Linked DNA regions of Neurospora crassa OR74A. The protein of the gene in region 1 interacts with the protein of each later gene in a pairwise test. Links are inferred from orthologs where the notes say so. Each region holds a gene or a part of one and is shown in the gene's direction. Other genes may lie near its edges. The genes, in order: NCU03191, ypt-1 and NCU06404.

The links.
Region 2: the proteins of NCU03191 (region 1) and ypt-1 interact in a two-hybrid assay, tested with the Saccharomyces cerevisiae proteins (2 studies listed by BioGRID). The link is inferred for Neurospora crassa OR74A from reciprocal best matches to the Saccharomyces cerevisiae genes MRS6 and YPT1.
Region 3: the proteins of NCU03191 (region 1) and NCU06404 interact in a protein complementation assay, tested with the Saccharomyces cerevisiae proteins (2 studies listed by BioGRID). The link is inferred for Neurospora crassa OR74A from reciprocal best matches to the Saccharomyces cerevisiae genes MRS6 and SEC4.

The regions. Positions count from the first base shown.
Region 1 is NC_026501.1:4,858,363-4,862,113, reverse strand, and holds NCU03191 (rab protein geranylgeranyltransferase component A), read left to right. Parts: upstream 1-1,321; coding exon 1,322-1,401; intron 1,402-1,493; coding exon 1,494-2,557; intron 2,558-2,761; coding exon 2,762-3,090; 3' UTR 3,091-3,108; intron 3,109-3,257; 3' UTR 3,258-3,527; downstream 3,528-3,751. Other genes in the region: NCU03192 (hypothetical protein), read left to right, coding at 1-7, 94-115; NCU03190 (Rec8), read right to left, coding at 3,633-3,751. UniProt on the Saccharomyces cerevisiae protein: Substrate-binding subunit (component A) of the Rab geranylgeranyltransferase (GGTase) complex. Binds unprenylated Rab proteins and presents the substrate peptide to the catalytic component B.
Region 2 is NC_026502.1:3,521,544-3,525,294, reverse strand, and holds ypt-1 (small GTP-binding protein), read left to right. Parts: upstream 1-1,155; 5' UTR 1,156-1,428; coding exon 1,429-1,439; intron 1,440-1,698; coding exon 1,699-1,822; intron 1,823-1,892; coding exon 1,893-1,940; intron 1,941-2,008; coding exon 2,009-2,236; intron 2,237-2,294; coding exon 2,295-2,495; 3' UTR 2,496-3,376; downstream 3,377-3,751. UniProt on the Saccharomyces cerevisiae protein: The small GTPases Rab are key regulators of intracellular membrane trafficking, from the formation of transport vesicles to their fusion with membranes.
Region 3 is NC_026504.1:2,622,865-2,626,601, reverse strand, and holds NCU06404 (GTP-binding protein), read left to right. Parts: upstream 1-893; 5' UTR 894-1,561; coding exon 1,562-1,591; intron 1,592-1,721; coding exon 1,722-1,989; intron 1,990-2,200; coding exon 2,201-2,520; 3' UTR 2,521-3,387; downstream 3,388-3,737. UniProt on the Saccharomyces cerevisiae protein: Involved in exocytosis. Maybe by regulating the binding and fusion of secretory vesicles with the cell surface. The GTP-bound form of SEC4 may interact with an effector, thereby stimulating its activity and leading to exocytotic fusion.

The DNA.
Region 1 (3,751 bases):
GTTGCGGGTATGTTCTATCTCTTATCTCACGCTTTGACACATGAGGCGGTCATTCCTCCCACATGCATGATCACTAACAGTAATCATATTTAGACCCCTTCGTAACACGAAGTAGGTGTAATGAAGGAGCTGCGACTACGAGTTTGAGTTTTCTTTCACGGATGGGGAGTTTGATGGCTGGCTGCCGGCCTACAGGCGGAAAATGGGCGATCCTCTCGGGGCGGATGTGGAGGACGTTGATCGGCGACAAGATAGATGGATGATGGGCCTTGTCTAGATGCAGTCATAGGATCTCTGGGGTTTCAAACACCGACTATGGGCATGAAGTCATGATCTATCAGGAGTCAATATTATCTCGACGGAGAACCTCGGCTTGGTCATGCCAATGGACAGAGAGACAGAGAGTACGAAGAAGATACCCATATGTTGGATGCACCCTGGTTGCGGCCGGAGGAGGATAAAACACCACCAATTCTACGGAGAGAGATGGGCGACTGTGCCATTCAAAACCATCTTGTCCTGTCTTGTCCTGTTTGTACTCGAGGAGCAATGCGATGTAAATGGATACCCACTTGGAACATCCTACAACAAAAGCGCTCTGTTCAGCTTCGAATTCAGCCGTTACGACTCTGTACAACATAGTGATCAATGATGATGATCGCACAAAGCCATCATGATATGATGCAAGATAACTTGACGGCTAACAACATCGCTGCGCATAAAAACCGCAAAGGTGTGAGCTTCTGAGTCGGAAAGTCATCTACAACTTCTGGGCATCGCGGAGTTGAGCTGGCAAAGCAGTCAAGACATTTGCAATTTTTATAGCATGGTTGCAAAAATGTGCCGATCGTTCGACCCGCCCTCACATGTGGTGATTCTAAGGCAGGAGATACAGAAGGGCTGTTTGTGGCATCAATCTGCCACTCAACTTCGGAGAAACCTAATGAAAGGCCCCCCAAGACTCCCGCGATACTGTTGGGCTGCAGAGCAGCAGCAGCAACCGCGTCTCTTCGTTGAGTGGTTGATGAGAGAAAAAGGAAAATTTGGGGTGGATGGACGTCGAGTTTTGACCACTTCGAAGCTTCGCCAGTGGCCCGTGCGTCTGCCCGTTTGTCAGGCGGGGGACGAACAACAGAAACCCACAAAAACGAAAGCTTGGGCGGGGCCGATTCAAAAAGCCACACCGGTCCGAGGAACTGCCGGCTCCGCAAGCACCAAACTTTAACTTCATTTCAAAATTGCCGCTGCAACCCTCGTTCTTTTTCCCAAGTTATTACTTCCCAACAGACTGGCAGTTCCGCGAACCACAGAGTCCCTAGTCATGGCGATGGGATCTATCGGCGATACCCTTTGGGATGTCGTCATCTGCGGCACCGGACTGCAGCAGTCTCTGCTTGCACTGTAAGCAAACTTTTCTTTCGCTCTTCTTCATCCGACTTTCATCGTTCTCCTGTCTAACTGACCGACTGACATAGCTGTTCTCCGCCTTGAAGATCCCTCTCGCGATCGGGCAAGAACATTTTGCACATAGACCCCAACGACTACTATGGCGGGGCGGAAGCGGCTTTCAGCCTGCAAGAAGCTGAGTCCTGGGTTGACCGTCTGGCCACCGAGGACAAAGGCCTCTTCAGGTCCGCGTCTATCACCAAGCCGGATGTCGTGGGTCTCTCCTTCCCCAGAGCGTACTCGCTGGCACTGGCACCGCAGTTGATCCACGCCCGCTCGGAGCTGCTATCTCAATTGGTTTCTTCCCGGGCGTACCGGCAGGTGGAATTCCTCGCCGTCGGATCGTTCTACATTTTCAAAGCACCTGTCGGCCCTGAACAGCAACCCAGCCTTGTCCGCATTCCTTCCACCCGCGAAGATGTCTTTTCAACTACTGCTATATCGGCCAAGGCGAAGCGCGGACTGATGAAGTTTCTACGGTTTGTGCTGGACTACGACAGTCCGGAGCAGAGAGATGCCTGGAAGCCTTTTGCCGATAAACCCTTGGTGGACTTCTTACAGGAGCACTTCAAGATGGATACCGAGCTCAAGACCTACATCATCACCCTCACGCTTTCGCTGGATGGCCGCATCACTACCGAGGATGGATTGTTCATCGTCCATCGCCATCTTACCTCTATGGGTCACTTTGGCCCCGGCTTTGCTGCTCTCTATCCCAAATGGGGCGGTATCTCCGAGATTGCCCAGGTCGCCTGTAGAGCCGGTGCGGTCGGTGGTGCTGTCTACATGCTTGGCGCTGGTATCAAGTCAATGGAGACTGCTACTGACGAGATCGAGCTCGAGTTGACCAGCGGCGACAAGGTGAAAACCAAGTTGCTCGTGCGTGGAGACGAAAGCGTTGGTGACGAGCCGAGCATCAGCAGGCTAGTGGCCGTTGTTGATTCTCCGCTCAAGACCTTGTTTGAGTCTACCGTCGACGGGGCGCCGACTCCCTGCGTTGCGGTCGTCGCTCTGCCTCCGGGTTCACTAACAACACCTGGCGAAGCAAACACTGACCCAGTCTATGTTTTCGCTCACTCGAGCGGCACTGGCGAATGTCCCAATGGTCAGAGTAAGTTTTATCTATTTCCTTGCTCCCTTCAATTTACCCATTTCGAGTACTATGATGATCCACATCTTGAATACTTATCTACATTGTCCAAGCTTCGGCGTTGACGATAAATACCTCTGACATTCTGATCGTACTCTCATCCGTTCAACCCTTCCGCATCATTCATAACTTGTTACGCGCAAATGGCTGACTGGAAACCAACAGGTGTCTTATACTTGTCCACAATGGTGACTCCTAACTCCAAGGAGATCTTGAGTCGCTCTCTTGAATCCTTGCTTTCCGCTGTGGACCCTGATCGAGTCCCCCAGTGCTTGTATCAGTTATACTATGAACAGGCTGCTGGTGTCAAGCAAAGTCGACTTGATGGGTTGATTCTTGATCTGCCAGGCCCATCTCTTTCCCTCTTGATGGACGATGCATCGCTGAATCATGTCCGTGAGGCGTGGAAGAAGGTCGTTGGCGGCGCAGTTGATGATGCAGAGTACATGGTCTTCACTGATCGTGAACCCGTGGATGATGATGATTATGAATGATTCTTGGTGACGACCATGGTAAGGGCTGGTCTCTTTACTGTCTTATGCACCGCCCTCCGCACACTCCGTAACATACTTGAAAAAGATTAATCTCAATTTACTTCTATTATTCGATTGCCAATCCATCTCACTGCTATCTGGTAGCTGATTTGTTGTGAATTCCTCAGTCGCCAAATCTTCTGTCAAAGTGAGCCCCAGCGTGTTGCAAAGTTGCCGTTTGCCTGAAGTCCGTTGTCCCCTTCCTATACTTCTCCGAAGATCAGCTCCCTATGTCCTCCGCAGAAACTGTGATCCTATCTTCCGCATGCGCCAGATGGCTTTTGTCAGAGGCATGATTGCTTAGCAAACCAATCAAAATGGTATCTCATCTGGCCCTTTACTCAATCATGATCCCACAGTGTAGGGGAGCACAGCATCCCGTTTCCCATTTACCCACCCGACAACCCGAACCGAGAAATAATAATAAAGAAAAGAACCGCAAGACTCGCACCGATTGCACCGATAAGTGTGCATTCTTTGCAAAACTCTCCGCATCAGCCACTTCACTCGTCACCATCCTCCTCCATCAGAGCCAGCATCTCAGCCTCCGACACCTCAACGCCCACGCGAATTTCGCCAAACGGCTGGAAGCCCTCCATGTCCTGCTCCACCTTGATTGCGT
Region 2 (3,751 bases), on another chromosome or scaffold:
CAGTGTAAGTATGTATACTATGGGGTGTGTATAGGGCTGGGATCGATGCAAGATAAGGCCGGGTTGAATGCAATTTGCAAGAGTGTGAAAACGCCAAGTGGTTGACTTGTCTCTCTGACGAAGAGTGCCGCACAGCGGGTGGAATGATGTCAGTGACGGATTGGCTCGGATGGTTGACCACAGAGCTGATAAGAGGGTCGGTAATCGGGTGGATCGGCTTCCACTTGCTCACCGGATCTCCCCACGGACAGGGATTCCAATAGTGATGTTTTGTGGGGTTGGATCTTGATCATCAACACTCTATCCATGGACATTGTGTAGGTCAGGAGGCTTTGAGAGCAACCTAGTTGCATACAATGAAACGACATATGCTTCATCGTAATTTTGGTTGTGGTCAAATATCCAGAACCTTGAGGTCTCATTTCGTTCGTACACTTGTTTCACATGAGCCTTATCTTATCGGCATACATATGTAAATGTGCTGGATGATGGAACCTAACTGAAGCTAGAAGCTTCCTAAGATCAGGAGTCCGTTGGACCCGTGAATCAATGTTGCTCCCAAATCCAAAAAAAAGGGAATCATTCATTCATTCATTGATCCATTCATTCATTCATTCATTGATACATTCATTCATTCAATGGAAGCCCATGTGGACACCGCTCAGGTGGCCCAGCCTCCAAGTCCACGATAATAAAGGTAGCCATGGGAACAACGGCCAAAGCACTTTCGAGGTATACCAAAACAAAAAAGTTCCGTAGCCGTACTTTGTTGTCGTCTCTTGGACAGAGAATAACCTGGAATCTCAACCACATTTCATCATCATTGTTTTTTTTTGTCTTTTTTTCTTTTGGGACTTGTTTAGCTGTGAAATGCACATCATCGGGACGACTCCAAGATTGTTAGTGCAATACCGTACATACCGCAACTGAAGTGGGAAAGGGTCAGGAGGCGGCTGCTGCGTCACGTGCATCGTCACCGCTTGAGTCCCCTGTTTTGGATGGATCAGTGTCCCGCCTCTTGGCCGGCGGTCGCCAATCACCCCCCCGCCCGGAGAGTGTGCGGGTGGTGTGGGTGGGCTGCCACTGCCACTCGCTGCCAGCAGTCAGCCAGGACAGCCGAGGGCGCTCTCCCATTCCATCAACTGCCCGTGTTAAGTTGCTCTGCGTGTTGCCCGTTCCAGGTTCTATGCTGCGTGCTGTTGCTGCCTTTCCATCCGCCCACCTACACTAGACTTCTACAATCCTCCACATCATCAATCAACCAACAGACCGACCTCCCACCCCCAACGACCTACACCTAATCTCATTCAGCGAAACCATCCATCTTTCGCTCCACCACCGTCCACCTTACGATACCCGCCTTATTTCTTCGCTGTCCAACTCAACCCAACACCACCACATCGCATAGCGCGTCCCTCGTTGCCCATCATGAACCCTGAGTAGTAGGTTTAATCACGTCTCCTGTTGCCCTTCTCCTGCTCTTCCCAAATCACCGTAAGCCGCCGCCACGCTGCCGCCACCTACAATCATCGCCGCCGCCCGTATCCCATGTTGTTTCCATGACGGATTGCTAACATGTTTAACCTTCAGGGTGCCCACCGCTTCCCCTCTTCACCCGACGTCGTCCCCTTCCCTTTCGCGACTCGACCGATCACCGCCGCCACCACCCCCAAAGAACCCTGCTGACGATGCAACCAGATACGACTACCTCTTCAAGCTCCTCCTCATCGGTGACTCCGGTGTCGGAAAGTCTTGCTTGCTCCTTCGTTTTGCCGACGATACCTACACCGAGTCCTATATCTCCACCATCGGTGTCGACTTTGTACGTCCTGCTATCCTGCCTGCGCAACACATGCGTTCGACCCCCATCAACATGCTGACCGTTTGGCTAGAAAATTCGCACTATCGAGCTTGATGGCAAGACCGTGAAGCTCCAGATCGTAAGCAACCCCCCGGCACTCCTGGACACTTTGGAAATCCAAATTCGCTGACCCAGTCGCTTATTCAGTGGGATACCGCTGGCCAAGAACGTTTCCGTACCATCACCTCTTCCTACTACCGTGGCGCCCACGGCATCTGCGTTGTCTACGATGTCACGGATATGGACTCTTTCAACAACGTGAAGCAATGGCTTCAGGAGATTGACCGTTACGCCACCGAGGGCGTCAACAAGCTCCTCGTCGGCAACAAGAGCGATATGACCGACAAGAAGGTTGTTGAGTACACAGTCGCCAAGGTACACAGCCACCCCTAACCCTCGTGTCTAAGCCACATACTTACACATCAACCAACAGGAGTTCGCCGACAGCCTGGGCATTCCCTTCCTCGAGACCTCCGCCAAGAACGCTAGCAACGTCGAGCAGGCTTTCCTTACCATGGCCCGCCAGATCAAGGAGCGCATGGGCAGCTCCATCGCCACCAACAACACGAAAGCCAGCGTCAACGTCTCCCCCGGCCACGGCGTCTCCAACAACTCTTCCGGCGGCTGCTGCTAAAGCGTCTGTGCCTTGCGGCATTGGTTGCGCTCTTGGCGTTACGGTTTCGCATCGGACGGTGTTTGACGACATGATGATGCGATTGAATGTTACGGCGTGGGCACTGGGTTGAGCTGTGATGCAAATGCTGCTCTAATGGGATCTCAGTTGGGAATGTTTCGGCTCTGCTTCTGTGGTTTTGCGAGGAACATGGGAGGAGACTTGGGGCGGCTTTACATGCTACCTTGGGAATTCATCACACGGTTCCGCGGGCTCTTCTTCGCTTGCCGGGACAGGTTAGGGTGGGGCCTAAGAGGATGGTGATCGAACGCACCGGAAAAGGGAGCTTAATAGTTGGCTCATCACCAGTGTCCGTCACGATTCCTGGCAAAGGGCAAGGGGGGAAAGAGTGGCTGGCTGAGACATGGGATGGGCGGCGGGCTTCTTAGAGAGCTTCCACGACCCTTGATGATGTTGGGGGTGTGTGTGTTGCGTGTGTGTATTTTCGGTCTTGGGCATAACTGAGGACGCGGCACGGTTTTTTTTTTTTTTTTAAACACATTTGTTACTTTTGGTTTTTTTTTTAAGGAGCTAGACTACAGTTTTTGCTATTTTTGTGTTTTGAGGCAAACCCACTGATCTTTCCATGCTACAGCTCTCTCACACATAGAGGAAACCTTTCGCTTCAGAGAGATGACCGGCACATTTACACCAAGAAGAACCACACGTACAGGCACACCCATGCATAAAAAACAAATGCTCACCAGACTTCAAGCCCTTAGCCAGCTCTAGACGTCCTCGATAGTTACTCGCGCTTGATGAAGTCTCTCAAAGTGACGGACTTGGTTATGCTAGTAGAGTTTGATAGTCTAACTGGATCTGTAAACATTGAGATTTTGGACATCCTGCCGGCTGATCCAAAGGCCACGATCAGACTGCTGTGGATAACCCACTCTCCAGGGTCTTGACAGCAGTATATTTATGAGAAGTCCAATCGACGGTCGGTAAATGCCCCTTGTCCCATATCACGGATAGTATAGCCAGCCATATCAGAGTTGAGGATTTGTTGTGTTGAAGCACCCCAATTCAATCAGTAATCGCAGGTATCAACCGCTTCAAGGATTGAAGAGACACTCGGTTTTAAAAGCTTGCTTTACAACTATACCCGTAGCCAGGATCCGACTTTCCATCTCTTGTCAGGCCCTCTTCTTCCCATCCATGGTGACTTTGCCTGCACGCTATACGTATCTCTACCTACGTTTTCCCATATCCACTGA
Region 3 (3,737 bases), on another chromosome or scaffold:
GGCATAACCAGGGTGCAGGGTCACCCAGGGGCCGCCTTTCGTGTGGCGGGAGGGCAGGAAAAGGCTTTGGTGGAAGAGATCATTGGGCCAATATGAGTTATAGATCCATCAACGGATACTGCGTCTCGTGCGTATAGACTGTTCACCGCCCTGCCCGCCTTTCTCACCATGTTGCTGTGAGACCGCCCAGTCGCCTGTGTCTGCAGCTTCAGCTGGCCTTTCACGATACTCCATTTTGTTGAAGAAGCCAAGAAAACCCCTTAATCAACTTTCCTGGTAAAACAAACAAATAAAGACAGCTGGTCTTCTGTTGGATGCGCGAATGAACGGATGGTCTCGTTTGGTCTCGAGGCTCACCTTCTTCCGCGACCTCAGATATTAGTGGCAGAGCTCCCTCCCTGGTTCCTGAATCTTGGGTTGCATTCGTTGAGAGTGCAGTTGAGTTGTCTCTTTCTCACTCCGGTTTCCTAGACACTTTGCGCCATGCACAACAACTTGTCCTTCGAGCTCATCCTGTCATTCATAACACATTGGTATCTCTATCTACTGCAAGGTTGAAAGGGACACAAAGAATGGAATATCAGGTGGAGTTGTTGCGGCGATTGTAGGTTCTAGAAACTTGACCGATTACGTACCGAACAGTCGCGTCCCCTAGACCACGATCACGCGCTGCAATAAGCGTTCTTCCACTAGAGTGGAGGTACAGGTGTAAAGGGCACAGATAACCCCCCATCCCATACATAGTGTAGCCCGCGACTCGGTAGCACTTCAGGCAAGTGCGTCAACCCTCACATTGTACCTCTATGGTGGTGATCGCGTTGCCCGGGCTCTGGACTTCCACTTGCCCTGCGCTTTGGGACCCAGGTTAGCATTGATTAGATAGTATCAGACATCAGGGGCATCTGAGACATTCCAGTTTTCTTGGTTCCTTCCTCTCCACGCAGGGAGGTCTTGGACAAGTGGAAGCTACAAGACCCCTTTCTGCCTTCCCCGTCCTCGTCATTGTTCGCCTTTCCATTGGATCTCCGCACGGCATCGCCCCGTAAAGTTGGAGGGAGAGAGAGCCCAGGTACGCACTGCCCGCAGCCCAGTAGCCGGCCAGCCAAGTCTACCTTAGTGCAGGAGTAGGAGACCCCATCGCGCTCTCGCCTGTTTGTTCGTTCTGCGACTCCTCCTCCGCTGGACTACTACCTAACCCGTGCAACCGCCCTGCAGTTTTGACAGGCCCGTCAACGTCGCACTGCGGACACGCTTTCAACTACCACCACCACTGCATTCCACCACCACTCACTCACTCACCTACACTACCTACCTACAACTGAACATCATTCCTGCTCTGTCGCCTGTTTCCTGAACTGCGCATCGTCACCACCATTCGAGCCTCCAGTCTCCATCCCCATTCCCTTTCCCGCAACTACCAGTGTACAACAGCCCGACGATTTCGAAACGCCGGATTTCGATTGATATCCCCTTTGCCGAATTCCGGAGTCCGAACTACCAGAGAAACATTCCAAGAGATCGAAACGACGGGCGGCGGCGTTAACCCCCACACCAGTTCATCATGTCGAGTAACAGGAATTACGATTTTCTGGTGAGTCTTTCCTTCACCTCACCGCTCGCACTCTCGCGACATTCCTTGTGTTCCCCCCCTCCCCCGTAGTGGGTTTGGCGAGGTTATTCTGTTTCCAGACGCTGACCGGAGATACCGCTTCACGACATAGATCAAGCTGCTCTTGATCGGAGACTCGGGCGTTGGCAAGTCCTGCTGTCTGTTGCGCTTTAGCGAAGACTCATTCACACCGTCATTTATCACCACCATCGGTATCGACTTCAAGATCCGCACAATCGAACTCGATGGCAAGCGGGTGAAGCTACAGATATGGGATACCGCCGGTCAAGAGCGTTTCCGTACCATCACGACGGCATACTACAGAGGCGCCATGGGCATTCTTCTCGTTTACGACGTGACGGATGAAAGGTCATTCAACAGTACGTGAACCCACATTCCCATCCCGCATAAAATGGCATGACAGTTGCGGTCAAGAGGTGGTCCTTGAGGTCACGCTCGAAATGCGATGGATTGGTGCCTTTTAGATGCCATGCCTCTCCATTGCTCCGGATTCTGGCATCAGCAATCTCCCATCGGATACCATGCCATGTATTACCTCGCTCCTTTGCTGACGTGACCTTCTCTTCGCAGATATCCGTACCTGGTTCGCCAACGTGGAGCAACACGCGACGGAAGGAGTCAACAAGATTCTCATTGGAAACAAGTGCGACTGGGAGGAAAAGAGGGCGGTTTCCAAGGAACAAGGCCAAGCGCTAGCCGACGAGCTTGGCATTCCCTTCCTCGAGGTTTCGGCCAAGGCGAACATCAACATCGAAGAGGCCTTCTTCAGCCTCGCCAACGACATCAAGAAGCGCATCATCGACACATCCGGCAAAGAGGCGTCTGGCGGCTCGTCGGGCGTGAACGTCAGCGACAACAGCGGGTCAGGATCCGGCGGCAAGTGCTGTTAAGCCAAACGGGTAGCAGTTGTGTGGCGGCGAAACCCGACCCTGGAGCTCGCAAAAAAAAAAAAAAAAAAGCCCGCTGACAATCACGATGGCGATACGAGATCCGATTTATCCTCCCGAAGTATGGATGACAGCAGTCTGGCCTCATTCAGTTCTATTTGGCTACAGCCTACGTCTATCGAACATGCACCTGTCTTCCTGCGGGCCACCAATATGCACGGCCGGGTCTACCGCATGGAAACAAAGAGGCGGTGTAGGGGAGAAAGAGGGTATCTTCGGTCTCAAGACTTTACTATGGTTGTAATGAAGCTAAGGTCCAAGAGGAAAAGACGGCTTTAGTTATTCTGGAGGGCTCATTGAAAACCCCTTTCTTGTCACTCGGGAGCAGGAGGGAGAAGCGGCGCGGAAGATACGACGCGTGCTCATTTCCGGCTTCTCGCTATTGGGTCTATTATTATTGCGCTCTAGAAGCAGTGGATGGTAGGATGGATAGGCTAGGGAGCTGAGGACATCAACGACGATACGGAGACATGTGAGTATTACGACCGGCTTGATCGATATAGATGGATTGAGGTTGGGTTGGCAGCATGGACGAGGGGCAGAGAGCGAAACGAAACATTCTGGTCACGGAGTTTGGGTGCGATCTTTGGCTCTTCCTAATATATTTCATTTTCTTCTCTCTTGACTGTTTCCCCTTTGTTGTTCTCTTTCTGGTTTGTAGATTTCGTGCGCGGCCCCCCTTATAGCTGTATCTCCAAAGTATGACGATACGACACCCATAAAACAAAACATAGATAGATATTCCCTGAAAAGATGGGGACGCCCTGGTCAACCATGGCTAGTGTAGAGTATCAAGACGTATGACGTGAGCGATAACATTGTTGACATGAGCCACGAATCCACAAGAGGTGCTCTTTTACTCTTTCGGGAAACGAGCACAAAGAACGGGATAGATGTGGTCTGTGCGTTGCTCAACTTCCACTTGTCGGTCCCTTCGGTCTGACTGTTTACATAGTGCCGAGGAAGCCACCACTGCACTGCGGCATGCCACCACGCTCACTACAGGACCCATACTCGAGGGTGATGGGTGCCTTCTGGCTCTGGGCGCCAAGGCTCTTCCACCCCCTCCCTATAGGAGAGGGGGTGGATAAAATATGGGATAGTAAATTAATTTGGGACAGTAGCGAAATATACTATGTAGATTCGCCAATTAACGCCCT